Linked DNA regions of Lonchura striata. The protein of the gene in region 1 interacts with the protein of each later gene in a pairwise test. Links are inferred from orthologs where the notes say so. Each region holds a gene or a part of one and is shown on either strand. Other genes may lie near its edges. The genes, in order: ARL6IP1, SHMT2, SUCLA2 and ACSF2.

Region 1 (7,557 bases):
TCCTCTGTTGCCAACTTTTTGTGGACATGCACTTTGAAGTGTAACAGTTTTCAACAGTCATATGGCCTTCCTTGCACTCTGATTGCCTGATTACCTCTAGGGAAGTCACAGGCTTTGCATCTAGCAGTAGCCGTGCAAACGCATTCCACTGCCACTGCTCCCTGACCCTCTGCCACCAACGCCCAGGAGAAGCTGTTGGAATGCTGCAGTGAAGAACAGTCATATGCAGAACAGGACACTTGGCACTGTTGGTCCTTTTCATTTTTCTCCAGTTAAAAATAACCTTATGAACAATCTGTTGGAGAAGTGTAGTGACAGGAGTGTGTTGTACCTGCTGTTTTGTTTCTTGGAAGCTGGGGGGAAGGGAGGGGTAACGCACTCACCTGTGGCTCATGTATTATACCTCTGCCATCCAGAAATGGAACACTTGTGTGGAGATGGGTTCTTACTGCGTAATTTAATAAAGTTCTAAAAAATAAAAAAGAATGTGTTTTTAATTTCCTTCAATGCAACACTGTGTGGTTGTGAAAATTACAGGGAAGAATTAAGTGCCCAATACAAACAAATACAAACCAAACCCCAAATTAGAGCAGGATTCTCCAGAGACTTAAATTTGCATAACTAATGCAAAGGAGACAGCTCAGATGTGCAGGAGTTAGACTGTCACTGTCGACTTGTGAGGTGACACATTTTTCTTGGGAAATGTTGACAGTATGGGAGGTTGGTACAGTCTTGATGAAACCTAAAATTCAGGTTCTGCTCACACATCCTGCATAGTAAATAAGACTGCATTAGTTACATTCTCTTAAAAGATGCTTCTGACAAAGACATAAGGGTGCTTACTTTATTTTCAGTAGAACTGGTGTTTATTTTCTCTGCAGTGAGGCACACATAGAATAATGCAAGTCTAGAATCACCTCTCTAAATAAATACAAACCAGCTTAAGCTATAGAAGTCAAACAGTTCAACTGAGGGCAATTTTTTGCCTGCTGCTTAGCTGCAGTAAATGTTAACCAAGGGACCATGCTATAAAGTGATTTCTCAAAGCCAAATTCTACATATGTTCAGCAGTTTTGTTACCCCCTCACAAATCTATAGGCTCGTGGTTGAGATGTCCTTTGAAAATGAGTTGGTCCTTTGCCTCTCTTCCTTCTCCCCTTTTGGAAAGCCAGGATGTGAGCATGGCTCTGCCAAATCGGTTTTTGGGATGTGTTAAACTGAAGTCATTAGTGGTGCCCTAGATTATTTTGGTAGGATAATGGCACAGTCAAATGGGAAATGCAGATCTATACAGCTAACAGAAAATAGTTTTGTACTTTGTAGAGACTTCATGGTCTGGTTTTGCTTTGCAACAATTGGTTTTGCCCTCAAGGATTATCTTATTTAAATAGAATAATGTTTTGTCTAATTTTTCAAATGTCTGTAAAAGACTCTGTTTTTCTAAGTGCTGTAGTCCTTAAGGTTAATTTACTTCAATTATTCATCAATGTGTTCTGTGCCTGGTACATTAGCCATTCTGTTTTAATGTACTCAAGTACTTCAAAGGTTTCTTTGCTTTTTTTCCTTTTTTTTTTTTTTTTTCTTGCAGGCTTTGCCTAAAATTAGCAGACTGTTAATGTTTTAGCTAAAGAATTTCACAGAAACTACAGATATTAGCTACAAACTACTGCTGTGTACGTAAATGCATAGCTAATTAGAGCAATTCTGCCATTCATCAGGCTAATTTTTTATTAATAACAAAATAAACATATATTAGGTATGCTGAAAGGGTGGAGGCTTGACATGTAAACTTTCGTGCCTGTTCTAAGTGCACAGAGCAATTGCACTGCCCCTTTTAAAGGTGCTTTGAAGCCATCTTGGGGATTTAATTTTCTGTGCATCTGCTAAGAGAGAATCTTGGTGCAGGAAGGATTGATTCCATTTTAGCATGGTCTGTGCCGTGTATTGGGGCAAGCAAAAGAGTTTGGTTTAGCTCAGGTAAGGTGCAGGAGGGACTGAGCTACTGCTGATCCTCTGCCTCCTGCACCATGGCTGAGATTTTAACAATGAATTTTCCGTGAATACACCATGGCTGAGATTTTAACAATGGAATATGTGAGTACCTGCACATGTAGCACACATTTTTAATCTGACGTGGTGCCTCACTTGGCCTGGCTGCTCAGTGAGGGAGGGGTGGGCAGGTGGCAGGGCCTGCCCTGTGCTGTGTTCTGCAGTGCAGTGGCCCCTCTGAGGTTTGGAGCAACACGTAATAGGAGGGAAAAACACCTCCATTGGCCCTCTGGGATGGAGAAAAGCTGCAAGGGCACCTGGCTAGGGAGTTGGCGTTGAAAAAACTGGCTGGAGATGATGGCCATGCCTGCTTGTTCCATTGGTAAGTGCTTGGGTTTTTTGGTGAGAATCACATAAATGGATGAATCCAGGAGCTGGCTGATGGTATCTCATAGCCAGAGCAGTGTTGCTGCAGGGCACTGCAAATATCTGTAGAAACTGTACTGCATTATAGAATCACACAATGGTGAGGGGTTGGAATGGGCCTTAAACACCGTCCAGTCCCAACACCCCTGCCATGGGCAGGGACATCTCCCAGCATTGAATCTCCCCAGGCAAACCTGTTCTCACCACCCCTAGTAAAGAATTTCCTCCTTATATCTAACCCAAATTTTTCCTCTTTCAGTTTGTACCCTTTACTCCTTGTCCTGTCACTACAGCTCCTGAGGTTGAATCCCTGTCCTTGTAGACCCCTTTCAGACGCTGGAAGGCTGCTGTGAGGTCATGCCTCTGTATGGCTCCATACTCTTTTAAAAGACTAACAAAATTATCACTGGCATCATCACTTCCTTATGAAATCACTTTTTGTGTGAGCTTTGCTGTGCTAAAATTACAGATTTTAAGAGTGAAATCCACCATTTATAAGTGTAAAATGTTACACAAAAGTACTCTTAGCTTTTAGCAGCATGTACATGAATTTTAGTTATTCAGAATGACATCTGTTCTTTACATATGTTCTAGGGTGAGTGAGAAGCACCCTGTGGAAGACCAAACCATCCAGGATAGACATATGTTTGCTTTTACATTGTCCTTAGTTCTTCTTTTTGTCTCTATCAAGCTGGTGCCAGAGAAGTTTTGGTGCCCGAGATGTTTTGTTTGCTCTCATTACAGCCTCGTGTGGCATCCTGGGCACGGTGATTACGCTCATTAACCCACGTGCCTGAAGCATTTAGAAAGCTGAGTCAGAAACAATATTTATATCCCAGTGCCTTTATCTTGTATTTATTCCCATGCTGCCACAAGTTCTGAAGGAAATGAAACACCTTGCTGGGCTTTGATGTTACCAATAGAACTGGTCCAGAGCTGAGCACTGCTGAGGCCACAGCTCGGGTGGTGTGTCCAGTTCAGAATGGACACTGAGGGGCTGGAGCGAGCTCCGAGCAGGGCTGGAGCTGGGGCAGGGGCTGGAGAGAATTCAGAGCAGGGTATGGAGCTGGGGCAGGGCTGGAGAGGATTCAGAGCAGGGTATGGAGCTTGGGGCAGGGCTGGAGAGGATTCAGAGCAGGGTATGGAGCTTGGGGCAGGGCTGGAGAGGATTCAGAGCAGGGCAGGAGCTGGAGCAGGGCTGGAGAGGATTCAGAGCAGGGTATGGAGCTGGGGCAGGGCTGGAGAGGATTCAGAGCAGGGTATGGAGCTGGGGCAGGGCTGGAGAGGATTCAGAGCAGGGCAGGAGCTGGGGCAGGGCTGGAGAGGATTCAGAGCAGGGTATGGAGCTGGAACAGGGCTGGAGAGGATTCAGAGCAGGGTATGGAGCTGGGGCAGGGCTGGAGAGGATTCAGAGCAGGGCAGGAGCTGGGGCAGGGCTGGAGAGGATTCAGAGCAGGGTATGGAGCTGGGGCAGGGCTGGAGAGGATTCAGAGCAGGGTATGGAGCTGGGGCAGGGCTGGAGAGGATTCAGAGCAGGGTATGGAGCTGGGGCAGTGCTGGAGCAGGGCAGGGCTGGAGCACGGCTGAGGAGCCGCAGCTGAGGGAGCCGGGCGTGTTCATTCGGGACACGGGGGTGACCTCAGAGCTGCTCAAAGCGGGCTGGAGCCGGCTGGGCGTCGGGCTCTGCTCCCAGGAAAAGAGGGACAGGACAAGGGGACAGAGCCTTAAGCTGAGCCTAGGGAGGTTTAGTTCGGACATTAAGAATTTCTTCAGAGAGTGATATTACAACGGGCGGCACAAGGAGGTGGCAGAGTCACAATCCCTGGAGGTGTTTTAGGGCAAGATGTGATGTGTGTCGCTCAGCACTCGGCGGTGCTCGGTCGCAGGCTGGACTCGGCTGTTTTCCAGCCCAGCTCCGCCGCCCCCTCTCCCCGGCCCGCCGCCCCTCCCGGCGCCGCCTCAGCCGCACTGCGGCGCGCCAGCGGGCCGCGCGCACGCCCCGCGCCCTTCGAATCCCGGCAGCCAACCGGCGGCCGGCGGGGCGCCGCGGCTGACCAATCACGGCGCTCAGGCGGCCCGCGGAGGCTATAAAAGGCGGCGGCGCGGTGAGGGAGGGCGTGGCCGGCGGTGCGGGAGCGGCGCAAGATGGCGGAGGGGGACAACAACAGCGCCTACCAGCTGGTGAGGGCGGGCGGGGCCGCTCGAGCCTGCGGGGGGCGGCGGCGGCGCCAGGCTGCTCCGCTCCGCTTTGTCCTGCCCTGTCCTGCCCTGTCCTGCCCTGTCCTGCCCGCAGCGGTGCCTGGCGGGGCCGCTCGGCCCCGCGCTCGTGACGCGGTTCGGCGCTGCCGGTTCGGTGTGGGGCGGGCGCGGCTGCGGCTGCTGCAGGCCCGAGCCCCAGCGGCGCTTGGCTGATCTTACGGGATCCGCGGCGGCTACCCCGACCCTGTCTGTCTGTCTGTCTGTGTCAGTCTGAGGGTCCGCGTGTGTCTGTGTGTGTGCAGCTTTCCGCTGCGGGACCGAGCGCCGCAGCGATACCGGAGAGCGGCAGGCGTTGGGTGATTCAGCTTAACTAAACGTGCTGAGATATGCTTGAATAGTTAAATAAACACAAGGCTATATATAGATATATGTATAGTTACGCCTCAGTTGGCAAGCGGCTGCCGTGGGCAATAGGAAAGTCGCTGTAAAAGCCTGCCGAGCGTTCGAGCGCTGCGTGCTGCACACCCAGCCGGGCGCCGGGAACAGCTCCAGGAGCTCGGCGCTTGCAGGGAGGCTCCAGAGTTTGTAGAAAGTCCACGAGCTGTGTTGTGCTTGTTATTCTGGTGGCGTCGGAGTTCTTATTGGAATTAAGTGTAGTATGCCGCTGAGTAAAACCTGTTCTGTTACCTCTGCACGGCAGACGTGCATGTCTTCATGACTTTCCTCCTCTTACTGCTCGGGCAGCAGTCGGTTCTGTCCGCGGTTTGCCTGAGTTTTGTAATCTCCGAGATGCCATCTCCCACCGAGGGGAGACTGTTAAGCTCTTTTAAGTGTGGAACACCTCAGGTGAACTTCTTAACAAGCTGATGGCAGCACAAGTGGAGCCTCCTTGCAGGAGAGGTGTAGGGAGGAATGTAGGAATCATATGGGAAATGGAGTCTAAAGGCTGTTTAGGGCAGCTTGTGGGAAAACTTGCTGTCCAAATGTGGTCAGTTTGATAACTTTACTGTGGGTTCTGAGTCTTTATCCATCTTCCTCATAATAAACTGGCATTGGACAGCAGCTAGAACAATTTAATGTGCTAGTGTTGTCTTGGAAAATACATTTAGTTTTAAACAGTTCTCATATTACAGTTTTCCGGTCATGGGTACTGAAAACTTAAAAATCTTTAAAACCTGACTTTCTACTAATCTGGGGGGATGGGATGTGCTGGATGGGATATGCTAAATGGGAGATTAGGGGAAAACACCTTGGCAAAATCTGGGACGAGGCCTGTACATGCTGCTAGGATCTTGACTGCTTAAAGGCATCACTGCTACAATGTCATAACTTAGTACAAAACTCACAATATAATTACTTATTTAATTACTCAGAAAGATTTGTGGCTGGAATCTTTAATTATTACACTGGGGTTTTTTTAAATCTACTTCAGTGTGGTAATTAATTTGATACACTCTGGTTAGTTAAAGGGGTTTTCTTCTCTTTTTGCGTAGGCTTCTGAAACTGCAAGCTTGGAAGAGCACTTGCAAGGATGGGGAGAAGTGATTTTACTGACCGATAAAGTTCTTCGCTGGGAGCGAGCCTGGTTTCCTCTGGCACTGATGAGTGTTGTTTCCTTTTCCTTCCTGTAAGTACCTCCTGGAGGGAGCCTGCAACATCATTGCATCTTCATGGCTACTACCAAACCTATTAAGAAAATTAGTTGGACACCTGGAGAAGTCTTAATAGAAAGGCTTTTACTCTAGGTTCTTTTTCTTAAAATGTGTGAACTATGTTGGAAATTACAAACAGAAGTTATGAAAGCAGGAAGTAACATGATTCACATCCTGCTCAGAATAGTTTCTGCAAAAGCTGTTTGCCAGCAGTAGTTGCTAGGGTTTGTACTGTGCTCAGCTGAATTTTCTTCAGTGGTGCGTTCATGTTCTGCCCTCGTTCTTTGTACCCTGCTTCTTTGTCAGATCTCACAATCTGCTTTGGCTTCCCCCCGACACCACCAGCAGTATCCTTATAGAAAGCTTGTTTCAATAGGGCAAAATAGCCTTTTCTGCCTCTTTGCTGTGGGTTTAGGATAGGTTCTGTTATTTTTGCACACCTAGAGTTTTCTAATATTCTGTCATGTCTTTTGAGAAAGGGCAAAAGGGAAGGCTACAGTAATTTCCAGTCTGCAGGGTGGAAGGATGTTGCCTGTCTGATTGGAGGTGCTGGAGGCACTTGGATGTGCCCTTACGTAACATGGGAGTAAAGATGACCTGACTGCCTTGCACAGACAGCTATTTGTGCCAGCTCTGCAGTTTGCCAGTTGTAACTGTTCCTGCAATGAGGAGAGAAATTACAAAAATAAATGTTGAACCAGGTGAGGCAGGGATAATTGTTCTTTTGGCTAATATGCTTTTAGGGGAGATGAGGAAGGTGGAAATCAAATGGAAACTGAAAAGTAACTTTTAAAAGAAGCCATTGTGTGAAGTTGAGGATATTCTGTTATAAATTCTGTGATTACAGAAGGGAAGATCTTGTGCTGAGTAATACTTTGTGGAAATGCAGAACTGCTTCAGGTTCTGAACTCAACAAAATGACCTTGAGCAGCCAGCACAGTAGCACTCTACAGATATACAGAACAGCCCCACCATGGCCTGGGCTATTTCTTTGCTTTTACTGTTTCAGTTTTCAGGAAGTTCTGTGAAGTACAGTTGAATAGCACAGGGCCCAGCTGGGTGTTATCAGGAGATCAGCTGGTTCTTATCCAGTTGCCCTTCTGCTCTGTTTGACTGATGGCAGACTGAATATGGAAAATGCAGCACTGCTTTAAGGGGAGATTGATGGCCTCTTGTCCAGAACAGGTTTGGCTGGCTCTCTCAGGAGAGACAGAGCAAATAACAGCCTCTAGTGGGTCTGAGTTATGTGACTTAAGCAACAAAATTAGAGCTTTTATTCTACCTGGTTATT
Region 2 (7,657 bases), on another chromosome or scaffold:
GGGCTCACGGGACCCCTGCCATTCCCCATGGGGATCATTCCCAAGCAGGAACCGCCACCGAGCCGTTCTGTAGGGTGAGTGATGCCAGGATGAGCCCCCGGCAATGACAGGAGCCATTCCCTGGGCCTGCCCCCCACGCTCCCCCCCGGCCCCTCCAGCTGCTGCCTCTGCTCGCCACCCCCTCCCCACTCCCCCTCTCCGTTCCTGCCGGGATCCAGGTCATGCAGAGCAGAAACTGCCCGAGCAGCCAAGCACCTGCCAGCTCAGGGCGACAGTGATTGACGAGGCCGGGGCTGCCCGAGCAGCATCCCCCGTGCCAGAGCAGCTGGCAGGGCGGGAGGGCACAGCGGGCACCCCGGGAGCAGGAGGATGAGCGATGGGGGCACTGAGGGGCAGGTGGGCAGGGGGATGAGGGACAGGGGGACACGTCAGAGGTGAGGTCCCAGGCTAGGGCCGGCATCTGGCTCGGCTCGCTGGTGTCCATCGCAGCAGATGAGTGCGGAGCCTTGGGAAGGGGCTGGTGTGGTGCCAGCCCAGCTGGTGCAGGCAGGAGGGTGAGGAGGGAGGAGTAGGTAGGAGGATGAGGAGGGAGCAGGCAGAGGGATGAGGAGGGTGCACGCGAGAGGATGAGGAGGGTGAAGGTAAAAGAATGAGCAGGATGCACGCAGGAGGATGAGGAGAGAGCAGGAAGTGGGATGAAGAGGGTGCACACAGGAGGATGAGGAGGGTGAAGGCAAAGGGATGAGCAGGGCGCATGCGGGAGGATGAGGAAGGAGGAGTAGGTAGGAGGGTGAGGAGGGAGCAGGCTGAGGGATGAGGAGGGAGGAGACAGAGGGATGAGGAGGGTGCACACAGGAGGATGAGAAGGGTGCACACAGGAGGATGAGGAGGGAGCAGGCAGAGGGATGAGGAGGGTGCACACAGGAGGATGAGGAGGGTGCATGCAGAGGGATGAGGAGGGTGCATACAGGAGGATGAGGAGGGTGCACACAGGAGGATGAGGAGGGAGCAGGCAGAGGGATGAGGAGGGTGCACACAGGAGGATGAGGAGGGTGCACACAGGAGGATGAGGAGGGTGCATGCAGAGGGATGAGGAAGGGCACAGGCACAGCTCCCGCCCTCTCTGCCCTCTCTCCCCAGACGGTGTGTGCTGGCGGTCACATCGCCAAAACCTTGGGGTACCTGGAGATGGGCACCTCGGGCCTCCTCAAGGATGTCCCCTACGGCACCCTGAAACCCCCAGCCCTCGACCCCGGGCGCCTGATTCCGGCAGAGCCCGCCCGGGGCGCGGGGGCACCGGCGGGCACCGGCCGGAGCCCCTGGGACTGGCAGAAGAACCAGACGGCCGGGGAGCTGCTGAGCCCCCGCGCCCACCGCAAGCCCACCCTCAAATCGAGCCGCACCAAGAAGATTTTCGGCTGGGGCGACTTCTACTTCAACATCAAGACGCTCAAATTCAGCCTCCTGGTGACGGGGAAAATCGTCGACCACATCAACGGCACCTTCAGCGTCTACTTCCGACACAACTCCTCCAGCCTGGGCAACGTCTCCGTCAGCATCGTGCCACCCTCCAAGGCGGTGGGTTTCGAGGTGCTGGTGCCAGGCCCCCCACCCTTGCTGCAACCACCGCCCCCTCCCCAGCAGAGCACCCTGCCCGAGGGGCGCCCGGCCAAGGCGCTCAATTGCCACGTGGAGTACGAGAAGACGAACCGGGCGCGGAAGAACAAACCGTGCCTCTACGACCCGTCCAAGGTGTGCTTCACCGAGCACACGCAGAGCCACGCCGCCTGGCTCTGCGCCAAGCCCTTCAAGGTCATCTGCATCTTCATCTCCTTCCTCAGCATCGACTACAAGCTGGTGCAGAAGGTCTGTCCCGACTACAACTTCCAGCACGACAACCCCTACTTCGGCTGACGGCACCGGGGGACGCGGGGGTTTCGGCGTCACTCGGGACCCCCCGTCACCCCCACGCCAGCCCCGTCTTCATGGCTCTGGGCTGGGCTGTGGGACAGCCGGTGCTGGGGGTCCCGGACCCCACCCAATGCCGTCCCATGGTGGGATTCGGTTGGTTCTGGGAGTTGCAGGTTCCCCCCTAAAATGACGTCCCATGCCTGCGGCATTCCTGAGCCGCAGTGGGGTACAGCCAGTTCTGGGGGTCCCGGGCACCCACTGAGACCCCATCACTGAGTACCCCACACTGGGGTACAGCCAGTTCTGGGGGTCCCGGGCACCCACTGAGACCCCATCACTGAGTACCCCACACTGGGGTACAGCCAGTTCTGGGGGTCCCGGGCACCCACTGAGACCCCATCACTGAGTACCCTGTACTGGGGGTCCCGGGCACCCACGGAGACCCCATCACTGAGTACCCTGTACTGGGGGTCCCAACCACCCACGGAGACCCCATCACTGAGTACCCCGTACTGGGGGTCCCGGGCACCCACTGAGACCCCATCACTGAGTACCCTGTACTGGGGGTCCCAACCACCCACGGAGACCCCATCACTGAGTACCCTGTACTGGGGTACAGCCAGTTCTGGGGGTCCCGGGCACCCACGGAGACCCCATCACTGAGTACCCCGTACTGGGGGTCCCGGGCACCCACTGAGACCCCATCACTGAGTACTCCAACTGGGGTACAGCCAGTTCTGGGGGTCCCAGTTCCACCCCCAGTGACATCCCATCACTCCATCCCTGGGGTGGAGCCGGTGCTGGGGGTCCTGGACCCCTACACAGAGATCCATCCCCGGGGTACACCTGATCCTGGGGGTCCCCTCCTCATTTTGAGACTCATAATTGGGGTACCCTGTTCTTGGGGGTCCCCTCCCCCCCCCGAGACCCCATCACTGCAGCCCCCATTCTGGGGTACACCTGTTTCGGGGGGTCCCAGCCCCCTCCCCCACTGACACCCCCTCACTGCAGCGCTGCCTGTGTTGGGAATCCGGGACCCCCACCCATGGAGACCCCCCCCACCCACTGAAACTCCATCCTCCCCCACCCATTGGGTGTAACTGGTGCTGGGGTCCCGACCCCCCACCCGGAGACCCCCCCCACCCCCTGACACCCACCCACCCTCCGAGACCCCCCCCCACCCCGAGACCCCCCAACCCCCGAGACCTCCCCACCCCCTGAGACCCCTCCACCCCTGAGACCCCCGCCGGGCACACGTGTGTGTGCGTGTGACACACCTGTACCATGTGTGTGTGTGACACACCTGTACCCTGTGACACACCTGTACCACGCGTGTGTATGTGCGTGTGATACACCTGTACCACACATATGTGCGTGACACACCTGTGCCATGCGTGTGTGCATGTGACACACCTGTACCACACATATGTGCGTGACACACCTGTACCACACGTATGTACGTGTGACACACCTGTACCACACGTGTGCAAGGCCCCACCCGGTATCCCGGAGCCCCCCCCCACCCATGGGTGGCTCTGGTGCCGCCTCCGGGCCCCGCTGCCCCCTGGACCCCCCCACCCATGGGGACCCTCCCCCCACGCCGCGAAAAAGCGCCAGGCGGGGGGGGGGGGGGGGGGGGGTCGGGATGCGATTTTTGGGGGGGGGTTTCAGGGGCGGCCCCCTCCTCTCGGGGAACGGCTTCTGCATCTTTTATTTCTTTAATTTTTTTTTTTTGTAAAGAAAATGAAAACGGAAAAAAAGCGGAAAATAAAGAAAAGCCGGGAAAACCAAAGGATCGCGGTGGTGGGGGGAGGGCGAGGGGGCGGGACCCCCGGAATGAGGGTCGGGGGGTGCAGGAGGGACCCCGCAATGAGGGTCGGGGGGTGCAGGAGGAGGGACCCCGCAATGAGGGTCGGGGGTGCAGGAGGGACCCCGCAATGAGGGTCGGGGGGTGCAGGAGGAGGGACCCCGGTTTTGGGGTGAGCAGGGATGGGGAGGCTGGGAGAAGGTGTGGGGGGAGGGAGGGGGGACCTCGGGATGGGGTGAGGGGGGTGCAGAGATGGGGGGACCCCAAAATTAGGGATGGGGGAGGTGTAAGGATCGGGGACCCCAAAATTAGGGATGGGGGGTGCAGGGATGAGGGATCAAAATTAGAGATGGGAGGTGCAAGGACGGGGGACCCTAAAAATAGAGGGGGGGCTGCAGGGATAGGGGACCAAAATTAGGGATGGGAGGGGGTGCAAGGATCGGCGACCCCAAAATTAGGGATGAGGGGTGCAGGGATGGGGGATCAAAATTAGGGATGGGAGGTGCAAGGACGGGGGACCCCAAAATTAGGGATAGGGGGGTACAAGAACGAGGGACCCCAAAAATAGGGGGGGGGGGCGTGCAGGGATAGGGGACCAAATTTAGAGATGGGAGGAGCAAGGACAGGGGACCCAAAAATTAGGGATAAGGGGGTGCAAGGACGGAGGTCCCCAAAATTAGGGATGGGGGAGATGCAAGGATCGGGGACCCCGAAATTAGGGATGGGGGGTGCAGGGATGGGGGACCCTAAAATCAGGGAAGGGGGGTGCAAGGACCGGGGATCCCAACATTAGGAAAGGGGAGGGGGTGCAGGGTCCGGGCTGCCCCGGTTCGGGGGGGAGGCGCCGGGGCTCCCGTTTCCCGTCGGCCCCGCGGCTCCGGTGGCTCCGCCCTCCCGGCAGCGCGCGCGTGGGGGCGGGGCCAGCGGAGGCCGGGACCGGGACCGGGACCGGGGCCGGGAGCGGGACCCGGCGGGACCCACGTGCAGCGCGGACCGGGATGTGGCCGCTCCGCCTGGGCAGGGTGAGCCTCGGGGCTGGGAGCGGGGCCCGCTTCTCACCGGGGTGGGGGTCCCGGGTTCCCGGTAAGGATTCCCGGTAAAGATCCCCGGTAAGGATCCCCGGTAAGGATCCCCGGTTCCCGCATCCCCCGGTGAGCGCTGGGTTCTGCTAGCCCCGGTGTCTCCCGGTGCCCGGGGGGACAGCCCCGGTCCGCGGCGTGGGGACACCCGCTGCGGTTCCCGGTGTGCGGGAAGTCCCGGTGCCCGGAGGGAGGGTCCCGGTGCCCGGACGGGGTCCCGGTGCCCGGGGGATTTGGGTGCTCGCAGGGGTCCCGGTGCCCTCAGTGAGCTGCAGCCCCGGTGGTCCAGGGCTCCCGCTCCCCGGCGGGGGGGTCCCGGTGCCCGGTGCCGCGGGGGGGGGTCCCGGTGCCCCCGGTGCCCCCCTGTGTACCCCTTCCCCACCCTCCATCGCCCCCGGGGGTCTCAATCCCATCCCGCTCCTCCTCCTCGCCCCCGGCTGGACACCGGGACCCCCACCCTGGTGTTGCGTGTCGCCCCCCCAAGCCCGGCCCGGTTCCGCCCCGCCACCCCCGCGGACTTTGTGTCCGTCCCAAAGTCCCCGGGGCCGGGACAGCCCCGGCACCGGCCTTGGCCCGTGTCCGGTGCCCGCTGCCCCGCGGGTGATGCAATGGGGCGGCCGCGGTTACATCACCCGGCACCGGGCACCGGGGGCGCCCCACGGGTGTCCCCCCACAGCCGCCGTGTACAACGAGGGGGGGTCCCGTGGGTGGGGGTCCCGTGGGTGAGAGGCCCGCTGTGCACCTCGGCTTGGGGGGCACCCCCGCAGGGTTTTGGGGGTCCCTGTGTGCTTCGTGAGGACTTTTAAGGGGGTCTTCATGTACCTTTTGGGGTCCCCATGGGGTCCTTGGGGTCCCCATGCACCCCTTGGGGTCCCCATGTGCCCCTAGGGGTCCTTGGGGTCCCCATGGGATCCTTGGGGTCCCCATGTACCTCGTGGGGGCCTTGGGAGGATCCCCATGTGGCTTTTGGGGTCTCTATGTACTTTGGGGGGACCACGGAGGAGTCTCCATGTGTCCCGTGGAGACGGGGTCCCCATGTGCCCCGTGAGGTCCTTGGGGTCCCCATGGGATCCTTGGGGTCCCCATGGGGTCCCTATGCACCCAATGGGATCCTTGGGGTCCCCATGCACCCCATGGGATCCTTGGGGTCTCCATGAAATCCTTGGGGTCCCCATGCACCCCATGGGATCCTTGAGATCCCCTTGGGGTCCCCATGCACCCCATGGGATCCTTGGGGTCCCCATGTACCCCTTGGGGTCCCCATGCACCCCATGGTCCTTGGGGTCCCCATGTGCCGCTAGGGGTTCTTGGGGTCCCCATGGGGTCCTTGGGGTCCCTGTGTGCCCCTAGGGGTCCTTGGGGTCCCCATGGGGTCCTTGGGATCCTTGGGGTCCCCATGCACCCCACGGGATCCTTGGGGTCCCCATGTGCCCCATGAGGTCCTTGGGGTCCCCATGGGATCCTTGGGGTCCCCATGGGGTCCTTGGGGTCCCCATGTGCCCCATGGGATCCTTGGGGTCCCTATGTGCACCTTGGTGTCCCCATGCACTCCTTGGGGTCCCTATGTGCCCCTTGAGGTCCCCATGCACCCCTTGGGGTCCCCATGCTCCCACCTTGCAGGGTGACACCGGTGGCTGGAGGCAGACCTGGGGGTGTTGTGCCTGCCACTGTCACCTGTAGGTGCTGGGACGGGCTCCAGGGGTCACGGCTCGTCCCTCCCCTCTCTGTGCAGACCCTGCAGCGATGGGGGGCCCGGGTGGGCACGGGCAGCCGGCGGGCACAGCACGGCCCCGCCGCCGCCGCCGCCACCGGGCACGTCCCCGGCTGGACGGGGCAGGAGAGCCTGGCCGAGAGCGACCCCGAAATCTGGAGCCTGGTGCAGAAGGAGAAGGATCGGCAGTGCCGGGGGCTGGAGCTCATCGCCTCTGAGGTGGGGGGGCTTGGGCAGGGCTGGGGTTTGGGGCTGGGGGACCCCCAGTTTAGGGGGTTTGGCTGCTCCGATTCTCATCCACTTTTCCCCCCACCCCAGAATTTCTGCAGCCGGGCGGCGCTGGAGGCGCTGGGCTCCTGCCTCAACAACAAATACTCGGAGGGGTATCCTGGGAAGAGGTAAAGTGGGGAGGGGGCTGGGGGGCACCGGGGGGCACCGGGGTTCAGCTGCAGGAGACATCCAGGGAGCCCCAGGGCAGGGCTGGGGGCTCCCCAGTGCTGATGCTGACCCAGAACAGAGATCTAAACAGAGCTAAAGAATAAATTAGGGATTTATTAGGAGGCTTCAGTGGATCCACCCTGAGCAGCACAAAGAGGCCAGTCAGGGCTACAGCCCAGGTGAGCCCAAAATAGTCACAAGATGAACCCAAAATGCACCCAAAATGGTCACAAAAATGGATGCCTTGTCACGAGGTCTGTCGCTTTTATAAGTTTTGCTCCATGTGCATATTGGGGTTAATTGTCCAATTGTAGCTTTAGCTTACCCAGTCCCATCCTTCTTGTTTTTCTCTGTTCAGTTCACTTCTGTTTCTGCTCTTGGGCCTGAAATTTGGATCCTTTGTCCTTGTTCCCCAGCTAGAGAAGGAATTGTTTTGTCTGCCTACTCTGTGAACAGAGCTCACCATCCCCTCACATGAACCCAAAAAACCCCCAAAATCTGAGGTGTCATAATCTCAGCATCTGAAACACAGAAAACCCAAAACCCCGCAGCATCACTGGGGGCTGCCTGATGCGCCACACCCCCGTGGGGTCGGGCTGGCGGCGGGGGGACCCCCCTGGTGACCCCGTGCTGTCCCCAGGTACTACGGGGGGGCCGAGGTGGTGGACGAGCTCGAGCTGCTGTGCCAGCGGCGGGCGCTGGAGGCCTTCG
Region 3 (7,533 bases), on another chromosome or scaffold:
CAGCTTATTGAAAAGCAGCTACACAAGCAGAAAACATCCATCTTTCATACACATGAAAGATTCCCTGGCTCTGGAATTTTCTATAAATTTGCATTTTCTTAGCAGAAGTATGAATTGGAAGATGGAATATTTAAATGTTCAATATTAAAATATTTAAATATTTTACATTGCAAAGCTGGCATTCAGAAGCTGGGTGGAATGCGACAGCAGTGCATGACACCAAAGCCCTGCTAGCCACCTGGCTGAAACTTGAACTTGAGAGATTTTTCTTCTCTTGCTTTCAAGCTTCTGGTTGTTATCGTGAAACCTGATACTGAAAATGTAACATTGTTAACTGTTTCCTCACTTTTATTTCAGCAGAATTATTTCTATGACACCGCATGTTTCTATTAAATGGCTGTCTTTTACCACAAATCATTGCTTGCTCTAATATTATGGCTTCATAAGCATTATTAGTGGAAATTAGGCAAAGTGTGATACATAGTTTTTATGTTGAAATGTAAATAACCTCTGATCATATTTACATGTGGTGAGAATAGTGTGCAAGAGCAATAGGACAAATTAGAGCTGTACTACAGGTGTTCTGACTTCATTGCTTGTTAATTATTTATTTGCTGTGTACAGACAGGACTGGGTCATTGGAATGAGAAAAGGTGCTGAAACAATTCTGTTTTATTTGTAGCTTTGTCATTAACACTTTAAGTAACCTTGGGCAACCCTTAGGCGGGTGAAGGTGGATTGTGCTTCAGCTTTGATTAAACTTCTGTGTGTACTCAATCCCAGGGGACTCTGAATAAGAAGAGTATAAAAATGTCTATTCCTTATCCATCTAGGATAGTACCTGGAGGTCCAGAATGGATGTCTGGAATACAGTAGGCAAGAAATCATGACAGGGTTTTTGACTACTATTCTACAGCCATCTGTGGCTTGGTGACTTCTCAAGGCAGAGGTGGCTTCTGTATATTTACTAACCTTGTTCTTGTTTCTCTTTCTTAACCTACCAAGACTCCTCTTGTGCCCATGTAAATTTTCATCATTTGCAGCATCTGTGGCAAGGTGCTCCACAACTTAGCTATGTGACAGATCATTTTCTGCAAACCAAATCCTTTTGCTTTCATTGAACCTTTCACCTACCAGCCTTCACTGGCTGGGAAGAGATGGTATAATAGTGATGAATGTTCATACTGTATTCTGTAAAAAATTCCATCTATGTAGGCCTGAGAGTGCACACAGCAAATGCCTCTTTGCTGGGACATATGGTAGAATCCTTGCAGGAAATACACCGGAGCACCTTCAGCGAAGGACCCTGGAAGGACTTTTCTGTATGGCTGGGAGAAGAGATGGAATAACCTGTTAATATTGCAAATGGGTGCAGTGAATAGTTTCATGTTGTTAGCTATGCCTGAGGGTCCCCTTAGCAACCTGCAGTTTGTCCAGAGAGTACCATGATGGTACTCCTGCAGAGAGAATTCACCATGTATAAGATGTGCAATGTAAGGCAGTGTAGACACCACTGAAGGATTATTGTCACTCTGCTTTAAAGTCAGTTTTTTTGCTCTGACCATGGCTGATTCATCAGCTAAACCTGTTTACTCATCTACCATACTAGGTGGGCTCTTCCTTCCTGTCTTCCTTCCTTTCTTCAACTAAAAGAGCTCTGGAAAGCTCAGGGTGTTTTTCTCCGCAGGTACTGGGGTGCTTTTTAAGCTGCTGATAAATTTTGTCTTGGAAATTTCCTACCCTCTGGACTCACGGCCTTGGCAGGGGCTTTCACTTTCTAACTCTGATGTTCTTGGCAAGACCCTCTATCCTGATGTTTTTCAACTATAAAGTATCAACCAGCGGAGCTTACAAGGTCTGGGAAATAAATCAGATTGTATCATTGTCACTGTGTGGACGTGGTAAATTTATAATAAAGCAAATTCATGTCTATTCATAATGCCTGAGCCTTCCTGGATGCTATATTTGGTCTCAAACAGGATGCTTTATTTGTCCTGCTTGTCCGTTAAAAGTTCTTGGCTCCTTCTATCTCATTTGTAATGTACCTTTCCCCTGTTTCTTTATAGTTTTAAATACAGCTTTTCAGAGAGGGCCTTGATCCTGTGTTAAAAATCTTACTCTGACTTTAGCAAGAAATCTCATAATTTTAAACTTTGAATACGATTGAATCTATTTCTGGAGATTTAGCAAAACCTCTGGATATCTGCTGGAATTCCTTGTGTAGTTTCTTCAATTGTAGGTCAGATATTGAATGAGGCTGAGCCTATACAAACCTGAGTTTATATTGGACTTACTAGGAATTTGACTGGTTGTAGCCAAGAGTGTTATCTTTTCTTGTATGTCTAACAATATAAAGAAGAGGTGAATGTGTCATTTCCAAGAACTATTGTTTTTAAGATTTTGAGTTGGGCTTACAACCATCTTGTGCTGACAGTCAGAGCCTGGTGGTGGCACTGGTGATCAGACAAAAATCCAGGCATGTTTACAGTCCACCCCAGCTGGATGAGTTTTCACAGCCAAGAGGAAATCAGACAATATAAAACATTCAGATAATTAAAGTTCTCCATACAGCTGTGTACGAGACTCTAGATAGCAGCAGCAGCTGCCTCAGTCTTTCTAGAAGTCCTTCAGTATTGTCAGCCATGTGACATTTCTTCTTTTGAAATGATGGTAAAAAAACCATCTTCATTTTGAAACTGGAAGGATAAGTCACACCTAGTGAGAAGAAGATACAGTAGTAGTTGTAATCTGAATGTTTTACAGTCATTTGCTAAGGCAAGAATTTATTAAAAGCCCAGGGACAGTTGTCAAATTTCCTTCCAGTAGCTCGCAACTGAGTCAGGATATAAGTCTGGTTTCCTGACCTGCAGCCAGTGCTTATGTCTGAACAGTAGCTTTGGGCTTTTAAGGTTAAAGTTTTGCCAAGATCCATTACATCCTCTTGTAAACATTGTTGCAAATCCTTTCCAGGGCGGAGGTGATTTTGGGGAGTCTCCTGGAGGTAGGAGATTTGTTTGTATGTGGAAATGGCATCCATGTACCGTCCTGTGCAGTACAGAACTGCAGCAGGTCCTGTGACTAGTGAAGAGACACTGTGTGTACAGAAGGCAGAAAGAGCAGAGTTCAAGTGCTTTTTCTTCCCTTCCCCTTGGCTGGAAGAAATATTTTATCAGCTGTGGTGGGAAATCTTGGATGGTCTATCAAAATTTTGCAGCTGCTTACAGGTTCAGTGTAGATAGAGAAGTTAACATACTTCTCTATCTTGTGTGTCTGCACACAGAGGTGCAGAGCTAAGTAGTCTGCAGAGCTCACTGCAGTGCTAACAGGTGACAATAACACCAGGTCAGTGGAGGACCAGGAGCAAAATAACCAAACCAAAATGACTCCATCTTTTGCAATACTCGCCCAAGGAGAAGTTACAATAATGCATTTTCAGTTTCATAACAAAAAGAAGCAACTCATCATTTACTGGATAATTCAAATTACAAAACTCAGGAAGTATCACAGCTCTGACATGGCTTTCTTTCACATCAGATCTTGCTTTGATGTTCATAATGTATGGAAATAACTGCATTTTTCCTTATTATTGGTAGAGGACATTCTTGTTCCAATTTCCCAGGCCAATGCTAATTTCCTAATTTCCATTTTGTTTTAAAGGAAAAAGCTTTGCCTCCTGGTGAATCACAATGTCTGGTCACGAGTTTCTGCAGGGACATCTGCTCCCTGCTTCATTTCCTTAGTGACCTGAGTCAAGGCCACCAAAGTAAAAGTACAGACACTGAATTGCAGAGGGGGAGGCGCAGCGTGGAGCAGTGTGATGCAGAAATGGAGGTGGTGGCATGGGGAAGGGGCTGCAAAATATCTAGAAATACTAGTCCTCAGTTCAGTCATAGAACCACTGAATGGTTTGAGTTGGAAAGGACCTTAAAGGTTATCTAACTCCAACCCATCTGCCATGGGCAGGGACACCTTCCACTAGACCAGGTTGCTCAAAGCCCCATCCAGCCTGGCCTGGAACGCTTTCAGGGATGGGGCATGCACACCTCTGAAAATCCTGTTCCACTGCCTCCCACCCCCACAACAGAGAATTTTTTCCTTACTAATCTAATCTAAACCTGCCCTCTTTCATTTTAAAACCATTGTATCTTGTCTTAAGCAAGAACGGTTGTGTTTACGTTGCTGCATGGAAACACGCTGAAATACGAAACCAAAAAAGTAATCCTCAGGACTGGAAGTCCTTCCATTGGGAAGCTGAACCGGGAAGGAGTGTGGGCGTGTCCTAAGGGAGCCGTGCCTCTTCCCTCACATTTAACACAGGTGGTGCCAACCGAGACCGACGTGGTCGGAAGGTTGTGGGTGCATTACAACCCACTTAGGATCCTTGCGAAGCAAACCTGACCTTTATTAAAAGCAAAAGGTTGGAGGGAAGGCGAGGCCGAGCAGCGCCCTCAGCGTCACTGCGGGGCGGGGCCGCGCGCGGCGCTTCCTGGCCCCGCCCCGGCCCGCGAGCGGCGCGTGCGCGCTGCCGGGGGCACCCGAGGGCGAAGGGGCTCGGCCATGGCGGCCTCCATGATCTGCAGCCGGGTGGCGGCCGGGCTGAGGGGCAGCGGCCTCCGCGCCTCGCTGGGCTCCGCCGCGGGGAAGGTAGCGCCCGCTCGGGAGCGGGGGTGGGATGGGCCGGGGCTGAAGCGGGGCCGGGCCGGCTGGGATGGCGGTCGAGGTCGCTCCCTGCAGAGCGGCGGCGAGAGCAGCGTCCGTGTGGGCGCACTCGCGTCCTGCCCTGCCCTGCCCTGCCCCGCGGATGGCAGCCCGGTGCTCACCTTTGGTGCGCGGCCCCGCAGCCGCTGTTCTTGCTTCTGGCATGTCTTCCTTGTGTGGCTCCTTTTCCCTTACTTTTCAGCGCCCCCGTCCCCTATCTTGCTTGGAAATGCCCGTGTTTCCATCTCCGCCGTCACCTTGCTCCTAGGAGGGGTCGGGCTGTGCCAGTTAAACTCTTCTTGCAGCTCGCACCTCGCCAGCCTCTGCTCTTGGTTCCTGGGGATGCCATTCGGGGGTGCGGGCTTGTTTTTGACTGCAGCACCTCTGGGAAGCGGTGACACGAAGGAGTTCGGGAGGCTGCGGTGTGTGACACGGTGTGTGACGCTCGCTGCCACTTTCTCCTGCCACGTACTGGGGAAGGTCTCTGTGAGTGCCCCTCTCGAGTTACACGCAGCCTCCCCAGCGCCTCTCCCTTGGGGTCGTGCCAAGGAGAGGACGTCCTGCTTGGAGGAGGAATCCTTTGGAGGCTACATAGGCCCTGTCGATTCGCTAGCTTGGAATGCTGTAGTAAAGCTCATGTGTCGTCTGCTTGTTTCCTTTATTTGAAGTGAAATGAAGCCTTAAAAATCTATCTGATTAGAAACTTCCAAACTTCCTCATTCAGGCTGATTTTCACAGTGCTTATGCCAGTGATACGTACTAAAAAAATAAAAATAAAAGCAAAAGTTTGTTTTGTATGTAAGTTTTGTTTGTAATCTTTTTACCTTGAGTCTTTTGGTGATCATCCATGTTCATGGATTAGCTGAATTCAGTAGGTTTCTTGCTTTGTGTATAAAATTAAGGTCTTATTTGCATATGGTGAAATACAAAATTGCAGCAAACAGTTTTTTGCATTTGTTGTTGATTTTTATTTTACAGTCCTTGTCAACTTGTCAGTGCTAGTAGTTTCACCAGCTCTTTCCCCTGCCCAATAAAACCTCACAAAATCAAATACCAGACATGATATGAATGCCTAGTATGGAAGGGTAGGATTAAATGTTCAGGTGTTTGCACTGGAACACTAAAGTGTACTTGTTTAATATGTAGACTGGTTTTTTTAGCCTAAACAAAGAGGTTGGTCCTTCACAACAGTCACATTTTTCTTTTTGTTTTCTTTTTTTTCTTTTTATTCTTTTTCTTCAGGTGCTTGCTGGAAGTTCAGGAATACTCAACAGTCATGGGTTTCAAGTGCAACAACAGCAACAGAGGAGGCTATCACTCCATGAATACCTGAGCATGGGACTGTTGAAGGAGGCTGGCATTTCTGTTCCACATGGAGTGGTTGCCAATACTCCAGATGAAGCTTACAAAATAGCGAAAGAAATAGGTATAATATTAAAGAGAACATATACTAATAGGATTGGTACAAGGTGTACCTACTTTTTCTGTCTTTCTTGGTAAGATGTTGCTTGGAGTTCTTTATATACCTTTAAGAGATCCTTCCTTGTGAAGCAACCTTCTTGCTAAGAAGGAATAGGTCAGGTATAAATTCTATTAGCTTAGACTAATATAACTAGTTAAACTTCTTTGAGATGAGTAATAGACTCTACTTTGCAAATCCTGGATTTCTTTCTACTTTCAGCAAGGTTAGAGGAAGTCTTGTGTGAAGAGTTTCAGTGGTGGTGACAAGATCTCATACTTGTCCTCAAGCTACATACTTCTCTTTAAGCTACCAGAGAAGAGTAAAATCCTATTCCTTTGTGAGTGTGCTTTTCTGTCAGAATGCAACTACTTCATACAGGAGAGGAGGATTTTGATGGCTTGTAGTCGTATGCTAAATTCCTGGCTTGTTGATGAAAAAGTATCCCATCTCATTTGCCAGGTGCTTAAATACTTAATTTAGAATTAAGCTTTAATTTTGGACTTGTTTTTGCCTATTAATTTGCCGTGTTATTTACGATCTGTCCTAGCAAAATGTTGTTCAATTTGGATTTCATATGGAAGTCAACTTCTATTGTGTCAGGCATTAGAAGGTGGGGATTTTTTGGTTGGTTGATTGGTTTATTTGGGGAGGGTTTGTTAGTTTTAAGGCTGGGATTTTTTTTTTTCCCCTCTCTGGAAAAACATATGTCACAAAGTTTTAGTGAAGGACATAGGTTGACATATTCCTTTCTCCTACGCAAATGCTCAAATCTCTATTCACCTCCAAAGGGATACATTCATAGTTATTCTTGAGGTTATAGGTTTTCTTGGATTCATTTCAGTTTCATATGGAGATTTAGTGTGAGAAATGAGACCTGAAAGAAATGATAATTTTTCTTCTAGAGCCAGTTATGTTGCTTTGTAATGTAGAAAAGAATTGAAAAGCTGTTTTTCCTTTAGGCATGATGTCCTAGAAATTCAGGTATTGTCAGATACCTTCTTTATCTTGTTTCCCTTAGAGAGTAAGTGATACAAAATTAGAATACTTTCATTAATATGAAAGGAAGTTGCTAAAATGCTTCTGAGAATGGTTTAAACTTCAGAACCTTACCTTCGGTTAAGGGTGAGTTTATAGTGTGATCAAAACTTTCCAAGGTATACCCCTTTTCTCTAATGTCTGCGCAGGTATTGCTGGAGGGAAATGAGAGAACCTTTGTCTGTGGCTCTTTAATCAATAGCCCAGGAACTCGTCAGTCAGGGTTCCTTTGTTTTGTTTTTGCTCAGAGAGGGCTCCTCCAGCAGTGTGTGTATGTCTGGCTCCTGGTTTATAGCTCTGTGTCATCCCTGTGACATCATAGGTATGGCTCTTATCTG
Region 4 (7,739 bases), on another chromosome or scaffold:
CTTCAAAGAGGAACTTGCACGGCCCTGCATTCCCAGTGAAAAAGGGAGTATCTTGCACTGTCATGTCGTGGCAAAGCATTACACAGATCAGGCTCTCTGGGTTTCCTGTCTCAATATTTTCCAGACCTGAAGAGCCAAAAGGTTTCTCTAACTTTTTCAGAACCAGACTTTTAAACTAGAGGCAAGAAGGCACAAGGCTCCAGGTTTCATGGTTTGTCTTCCTCCCTACCCCCAAACATGAGGATGAAAGTGCATCAAAGAGCAGTAAAAGATATTATGAAGCTACATGCTGAAAAATACTGAGAAAATACTGCAGTATTTCACACTGTGAACACAGCTTGCTCTCAGAGGTCCCAAGTATTCACATTTTCAAATGAAAGCATCAGCAACACTGAAATTAGAGGCTAAGAAGGCTAAGATACCTCATGCTTATAACCCAGACACATTGACTCCTCTCAAAGCACTAATTCACATAATTTCTTCAAATGCATTAAAGCAAAAATCTCAGCTGCCATCAAGTCTGAGTTCCCCGAATTCTGGTCTGACATTGACACATGCTTCAGCATTTCTGTGTCACTTTGACAGTGTCAGAAGTGAAAAGTGTGGGATAAAACACAGCAGCCTTTTGGAAGCACTGGGGGTCAGGAGTGGAATAAAGGAGGCACACACAAGACATGTTCATTATCAGCAGCAGCATGCTGGAAATCACACAGGGCTGGTCTCCCTCCTGCCTACAGCCAGCAGCAAGAGTTTGTATCTGATCTGAGAGAATCTATCAAGAGACCTCTCGAAAGAAAGGATCCAAAGGATTTGGAAATAATCTCTGTGTTCATCTTTGTTACACAAAACGAGTAATTCACCCTTCACCTCTTCCTACAAAGCATCTGGTGCTGCTGGAGATAAAATGAGACCCACGGTCTGATATTACACCGGCTCTCATTTCCCTGGCTCAGCCAAAAGAGAGCAGATAAAACTCTGCTTGCTCTTGGGTGTCAGCACTGTAAACCACACCTTTTGGAGGGCACATGCCTTTTGTTAGCAGCACATTTCTGCAGCAAGCCAGCCTGCAAATGAGCCAGCCCTTCTATGGGCTGTTCCCACAAAACTCCAGAACCCTCAAGTTCAGCAACACAGCACAACAGAAAGACATCAGAGATCTGGGGGAAATGCATCCTCCTCCTCTTCCCTGCAAAAAGCGGGAGAGCAGCCAAACCCCAGCAATCCCAGAGCTCTTCTGCCTGGTGGCAGGAAGCAGAAATGATAAGACTGAAGCAAGCACTCTGAGTTAATCCTAGGAGCTGTTTGTATTTTTCCCTGAACAGCTCCAATCAAAGTCTGGAGTTGTTGACATAAGATAACCAATTCTGTTTTCACCTTTAACTCTTTACCAGTCTCTATAGAAATTATCAAAAGGGATGAGCGAGTAAACAAGGGAGTTAACCTGCTGTCCCCTTTGTAGTGTGAAGGACACTGACCTGCCCTGTGGTGCCATCACGTCAGCACCTGTGGGAAAGGCCCTGCCTTCCCAGAGCTTGGGAACTGTCCCAAATACAGAGTTCATACTTGGAGAGGTTCACAGATTCTGCCAGCTCCTTTGCTCATGGACATCTACCAGAGCCTCTCCCCAAAACAAGAGTTTTTGGGTCTTTTCTGTAACACGACTGCAATTAAAGGGTGGTAAAAATTAACTCTGCTCTGTCTTCATTCTGCTTTAATCTGTTGACTAAAGAGTTAATCAGATACTACTTTTTAAATTATTATTTAAAGTTCCCTGGGTTTTCAGACTCCTTCTGCAGCAACTTTCTGGTTTTGTTTTCCACTGTATCTCTCTGCCCTCTGCACTCTCCCTGCCAAAGGGATAAACAAACTGAGGAGTAGAACTTAATAAACTTTTTTTATAACATTACTAGAAAGAGTTTACTCTCTAAATACATGCTCTCTCTCCCCAAGGGCTTTGTGTTCTTGTCCCTCAGTTTCAATTCTGGGCTGAAGTGAGCTGCAGTGAATGTTGTCATGCTTCTCTTGTGATCCTACTTCCTAAGAACTGATTCTGAGAAGGCAATCTTCACACAACTATGATGAAGTGGCTTCAACACCTCACTCCTAATGTCAAACCAGCTGAAAAAACCCACCTAAACCCTGTCTGTGAAAAACAAGGAATGCCCCGCCTGATTCTTGGAATTGCTTACTGGAAGTCATCCCAGTGATTATTACTCTGAATACCAGCGAATCAATCAGAGCCTTTCCCAAAGCCAGATACTCCCCATTGCTGGTTTTTCACATGAACTTGCTCAAAGAGGCACCACTGAAGAAAAGCAAGGCAAAGAACTGGCCTGACTTCCCAAGCCCCAGAGCTTCTTGGTGTCCCACACTGCTTGGCCACCCAGCTACCTGGGGGCTGCAGGACCACAGGGGGACAGGGACACTGACAGCAAGTCAGAGCTCTGGAGGAAGATGGGGAAGCCATTTGATAAACTTCACATTGCTGCAATCTAGATGGAGCCGCTGCACAAAGTTCAGCCCTTGCCATGCCTTCACTTCCCTTCTCCTGCTGTTCAGGGCTCATCCCTGCCCCGGCCCACTCCCAGGTGGGGTGAAGCAGATCCAGGGGATACAGCCTGCCTTCTGCCACTTTGGAAGGGTCTGGGGATGACAAGGGTGAATATGCCCTCCCTGCATGCAGCCACTGGCCTAGCTGGATATTCACAGCACTGATAGTCCCTGTCCCCCATCACACATGGTCTCCATCCTCTGCAGCCTCTGTGCCCTACAGCTCCCCGACCCCAGAGCCCTCTGCCCCCTATAGCCCCTATTCCTTCTCACCCACAGCCCCCTGCACCCTTTAATTCCCTTACAGCCCCAGTCCCCTACAGCCCCACAGCCCTCTACCCCTACATCCCGCACCTCCCGCTCCCCAGCCCGTCCCTACCTGCCCGGCGGGGCTCCGCGCTGCCCGCCCGCCCGGCGCAGGAGCTGCAGCCCGTGCCGGGCCAGCGCTGCCAGACGGGCCACGGCCATTCCTGCAGCGGCAGCACCCCGCAGCACCCCGCAGCACCCCGCGGACCCGGCCCGGCCCGCGCCGCCGCTCGGTGCCCCGGGCGCCGCGCCCCGCCCCGGCCCCGCCCCGCCCGCCGCTCCCGGGACCCTCCGCCGGCCGGGGGGAGGCACCGGGGGAAGGGAAGCACAGAAAGAGCCAGCCCTGCCCGGTCCGCGAGAGGGACTGCGGGCTCAGACGGAGCCCCCAGAGTCCCGCCGGGCATCTCCCCATCCATCCTCTGCCGGTCCCCAGCCCAAGCTGCCCACCACAATTTCTTCCCTGCACATTTCTGGTCCGCTATCTCTTCTTGAGATAATGGGCAGGCCTGCTCCATCAGCCTGACCCAACCACTGTTACACCCGAATAAGCCTCTCCACTCAAATGAGTAGAGACTGACTTTGGTGCAAGACAAACACCATTATTTGCCTCTACCTGTCTCCACTTGTATCACTTGGTGCCTGAGCCCTGTGAGTCACCAACTGCCCTCCAGCCCTATGCCATCAATGAGTTATCAGCTAGCACCTCACTAACACCTGTATGCACTCCCTGTGGAGGAGAAGAGAGCAGCTAGGAACGGCAGAGCTGCTCCAGGGCTGGGCAGGCTGAGACCCCCCTCACCTAAGCACAGAGGTGTGGGGCTGCTGAGCTCTGCATCAGCACTGATGCTCAAGAGGTGACACAGTGTATGTGTATCACATCATGCACAATGGCGCTGACAAAGAGCGTAAATATCAACCTCAGAATGGTGAATCTCAGACATCAAAGCCAAAACTGTGCTTGCGACAGAGTGAAATACCAACTGCCACCAGATCTCTAGTGTCTGACACTTGCTTTTAGAAATTAAGGATTTTCCCCAATGTGCATCTAGTTCACAAGGAATTTGTTTGGTGGCAGCAGTGACAATGTCTTCTTTGTTAGGGAAAGGGAGAATTTTTTTCCCTTGAAATGTGAAAAACTTGCCTTGGCTGCAGAGGGCAGCCAGAGATCTTCTGAGCGTCTGGGAATGGTCTCCAACCCCAGGCTGGCATGGTCAGCTCAGCCCCAGTAAGGAGCATTAGATCACAATTAGATCGACTGTGTTCATCCCTCTTCCCTCAGCATTTCCTGCTCCATTCTCCTTGCTAATGTTCTTGCAGCCCCTAGCAGAGTGCACAGATGCACCTTGTGCTATGCTTTGTCTTTGTCTTGTGGAGCTTCAAAGTCTTTCTAGCCTGCGTGCACGGATACCTCCTCCAGTCAGCCCCACTGGACCCAGCAGCCAGGTGAGTTTCTGGATTCCCACAGGGGATGTAAAGCTGTGTGACATCTGTGGCCAGAAGTTGTCCTTCCACTGTTTGGCCAGAGCAGAGCAACTGTCTTTGTGCTGAAGGAGCATCAGAGCTCTCAGTATTGTATAACCACAGAGAAAAAAAAAAAAATCAGTGCAAACGTGTAATAAATAAAAATAAAGATGACTTTTGGCTTGATCTTCCCACATTATGGTTTTTAGCCTAGATGGTGAGTCCCAGTTAAAGAAAGAATTAAACCATGAATTATGCAGAAATGTCACCCTGACATTTGAGTATGTTTGTTTGAGATGGTAGTGATTTTGGCTAGAGATCAAATCAAAGGACCCCTGAAGCAGTAACATTTCATACACCATTGCATAAGGTAGCATTCATTTCTAATCAAGATTTTCAAATCTGTTAATCACAAACAAGTAGGTAGGTTTTGTAACCCATTACACCCTTGTTTGGTTTTGCCAATGGCTCTTGGATTTTTCAAACACAGATTTTAGTCTCTGTATTTCCCAGATATGCAGAGGGTCTTGCTCAGGCCCCCTCAGAGCCCCTCTGGGTTTTGTTCTCCAGAGCAGGACTGTCTTTGGTGCTGTTCCATGGAGGGGAACAGCACTGCACATCACATGAATCCCTCTCTGGCTCAGGGTAAGGAGTGGATCAGTAATCAGCTGCTGCCTTGGAGATCTGGTTTCCCCACCATTCCCTGGAGCAGGTCTTCTCTGGCTCTTCCCTCCAACAACAAACGTTGTTGTGAAATCTGATGTATGGAGGGAGCTTCTTGGATAAGTAGACCTCACTCCTCTCAGATGAGGGCTCTGTGATTTCTGCTCACATTTGGAAGAACAATAACATGCTCTGAAAATCTTCCATAATCTCCTGGACAGGAGACACCTTAAACTCAGGCAAACTTTATTGTAGTTTCTACGAGGCAAATCCTTGTGTGCTACTTTGGCATGCCTTTGTTCAGAGAATCCTGTGGCCTCAGTTACCTCAGTACTGAGCAAATAAATTGGTTTCTGGGTGTTGGAAGAAATTCACTGGCAGCTTACAAACAAACTAATGCATCCACAGAGTAGATGGGCTGCAATAGTGAAAACATCTTTGCAATGTCCCAAACATCACATATAGCACAGAAGTCAGGAAATTCATGCTGTAATCCCAGTACCAGGTAACACTAATTTGGCTCTGCCCCAGGCTCCTTTCTCTTTCACTGACTTTCTCCACAGAGTGCCCTGCTCCTGTGGGACTGGAGCCTTGGGAGCAAAGCAGGAATATCCATTAAGTGTCCCTCCTGTGAACAGACATTGTGGGGTAATGTAACAGCCAAACTGAGAGGGAGTTCAGCCCCTGGATTATGGAGAGTGTGGACAGATATAAGCAGCTATATCAGGTATTGCAAAACAAGGTATACATCCTTGGGTTTCTGTTGGGATTATCGGCCATAAACCAGTTGGTTCTCTGTGTGTCAGGTGATGTGACTGGATGCAAAACCGCCCCTGCTCATGGGTCTTGGCTGGGAGTTCTCCTGCCTTCTGCAGGGCTGTTTCATGTAGCCCAGATCTAAACTCCTGCCAACCTGGCCAGGGTTCCAGGGCTGGTGGGACAGTTGCAAGGATGCCCTGAGCTGTGCCAGTGTGTCCCAAAATAGGCTCTCCCACCCAGTGTACAGGAGGCCAACCCAAACCCAGAGTTGTAGTATTTGATTTATTTACAGTTCTGCACTGGATGGCAAATCCACAAAGCCAGCATGACAACTGTCAAAACTTTTGACTGTTTATATATTTTAGCAAACAAAAGGCATTAATGTTCATTGGCTACGAGTTATCTGGTTCTCATATCAATTAGTATTCTATCTTCCAATGCCTAATGATTTTTTTCACTTCCCATACTAATTAGTCCACAGTCTTGTCTCTCTTCTTTTGGGTTGGTGGGTTTCTTGGGTCTGTGTCCATGAATAGGTGGTCATAATCTACTCCTGACAGAACTACCTTTTACCTGCTTGGAGCTGATTCAACCCAATTGCTGAGCCAGCTTTATTAGTTTCTTCCTTATCTTGGAAATTCTGCCTAATGTTCTTGTAGCCCATAAATCCTGCATTCCTTGTACCCACTATCAGTAGTACATCCTTCTTCCCAAGCTTTGTTAACATCCCATTACATCTGAGATCATCGCATCAACATTAAACCCTAACAAGACAATTCTACCAACAAGTAATTCGTCTTTCTAAGCGCTCAGAGCTTATTAGCGGTTGTCTGCTTCGGGGATTAAATCTCCTTTCTTTTTGCTTAGGTTTGAAAGAGATCGAGCATCAGGTAACGTTCTTTCTTAGGGTAACTCGGTGTCCTGCGGCGCCGGTGCGGCCCCGCTCCGGGCCGGCAGCGGGCGCGCTCGGGGCGGCTGGCGGGGCCCGTGCAGACGTGGCCGCGGAAGTGGGTGGCGGGGCCGGGCCGTGCCACGCCGGGCTGGGCTGTGCCGTGCCGAGCCGTGCCGAGCCGCTCCGAACCCAACCGAGCCGCATCCCCCGCGGGCAGCCGCCGACGGAGCCATGTCGCGGGGCAGCGGGAAGGGGATCAGCCTGAAGGATAAGCTGGATGGGAACGAGCTGGACCTGAGCCTCTGCGACCTGAACGAGGTGCCGGTGCGGGAGCTGGTGAGTCTCCGGCCGTACCCCCCCCGGCGGGGCTGGGGACCGCCTGCCGGTCCCCGGGAAGGAGCAGCGTAGGGGAGCTGGATGTGCTGGGGGCTTGTGAGCTGGCCTGCAGGTATTGAAAGCAGCGAGGTTCTGTCCCGCGGGCCCGACAGCCGCTAGTCACTGCTGTCCCGGGATAAGAACCTTTTTGGATACAGAGATGGATCCGGAGATGACGTGGCCTCGGAGCAGCCGCGGGGGATGGACAGACTGACGCGGGAGAAACCGCAGAGGCCGAAGCAGAACAGGTGTCAGAGGGGGTCGGGTGAACCTCCATGTTCATTCAGTGCTTTATTTGTCTTTCAGGCCGCTCTTCCGAAAGCTACTATCTTGGATTTGTCCTGTAACAACCTCATTTCCTTGCCGGTAAGGTGCTAGAGAGCCTCCGTGGGGATGTGTCTGCTGGGAAATATTTGGAAAGATAGCTGGTGCTTCAGGAGAGGCTCACCAGGCACCGTGGAACTGGCATTTTCACTGCCCTGGGGTGGCTGAATGACTCGTTGTCAGTGACGGGTCAGTGCTGGCAGTGATTTGGCTGAGGCAGGAGAGAGTACAGGGTTGAACTGTGTGAAGATTGCAGTACACTCCTTCCAGAGCATCCCCAGGTTAATAGAGAGGACTTTCATCCGCAGTGGAGACTTGGGTTTGTTCCTGTCATATTGTCATCCATAACCTTCTCAGTCTGTCTATCTGTCCTACTGTGTCTCACCTCCATCTTCCAAGGCAAAGGAGG

The links.
Region 2: the proteins of ARL6IP1 (region 1) and SHMT2 interact in binary tests that used the Homo sapiens proteins (3 or more experiments, as listed by UniProt). The two-hybrid records come from large-scale screens. The link is inferred for Lonchura striata from reciprocal best matches to the Homo sapiens genes ARL6IP1 and SHMT2.
Region 3: the proteins of ARL6IP1 (region 1) and SUCLA2 interact in binary tests that used the Homo sapiens proteins (3 or more experiments, as listed by UniProt). The two-hybrid records come from large-scale screens. The link is inferred for Lonchura striata from reciprocal best matches to the Homo sapiens genes ARL6IP1 and SUCLA2.
Region 4: the proteins of ARL6IP1 (region 1) and ACSF2 interact in binary tests that used the Homo sapiens proteins (3 or more experiments, as listed by UniProt). The two-hybrid records come from large-scale screens. The link is inferred for Lonchura striata from reciprocal best matches to the Homo sapiens genes ARL6IP1 and ACSF2.

What each region holds. Positions count from the first base shown.
Region 1 is NC_134618.1:9,832,033-9,839,589, reverse strand, and holds the start of ARL6IP1 (ADP-ribosylation factor-like protein 6-interacting protein 1), read left to right. Parts: upstream 1-4,500; 5' UTR 4,501-4,560; coding exon 4,561-4,596; intron 4,597-6,107; coding exon 6,108-6,241; intron 6,242-7,557. UniProt on the Homo sapiens protein: Positively regulates SLC1A1/EAAC1-mediated glutamate transport by increasing its affinity for glutamate in a PKC activity-dependent manner.
Region 2 is NC_134629.1:5,868,565-5,876,221, forward strand, and holds the start of SHMT2 (serine hydroxymethyltransferase, mitochondrial), read left to right. Parts: upstream 1-4,645; 5' UTR 4,646-4,716; coding exon 4,717-4,740; intron 4,741-6,529; coding exon 6,530-6,727; intron 6,728-6,826; coding exon 6,827-6,906; intron 6,907-7,586; coding exon 7,587-7,657. Other genes in the region: NXPH4 (neurexophilin-4), read left to right, coding at 1,090-1,914. UniProt on the Homo sapiens protein: Catalyzes the cleavage of serine to glycine accompanied with the production of 5,10-methylenetetrahydrofolate, an essential intermediate for purine biosynthesis.
Region 3 is NC_134604.1:61,888,243-61,895,775, reverse strand, and holds the start of SUCLA2 (succinate--CoA ligase [ADP-forming] subunit beta, mitochondrial), read left to right. Parts: upstream 1-4,507; 5' UTR 4,508-4,557; coding exon 4,558-4,644; intron 4,645-5,940; coding exon 5,941-6,124; intron 6,125-7,533. UniProt on the Homo sapiens protein: ATP-specific succinyl-CoA synthetase functions in the citric acid cycle (TCA), coupling the hydrolysis of succinyl-CoA to the synthesis of ATP and thus represents the only step of substrate-level phosphorylation in the TCA.
Region 4 is NC_134621.1:5,722,511-5,730,249, reverse strand, and holds the start of ACSF2 (medium-chain acyl-CoA ligase ACSF2, mitochondrial), read right to left. Parts: upstream 3,035-7,739; 5' UTR 3,019-3,034; coding exon 2,930-3,018; intron 1-2,929. Other genes in the region: LRRC59 (leucine-rich repeat-containing protein 59), read left to right, coding at 6,863-6,967, 7,313-7,372. UniProt on the Homo sapiens protein: Acyl-CoA synthases catalyze the initial reaction in fatty acid metabolism, by forming a thioester with CoA. Has some preference toward medium-chain substrates. Plays a role in adipocyte differentiation.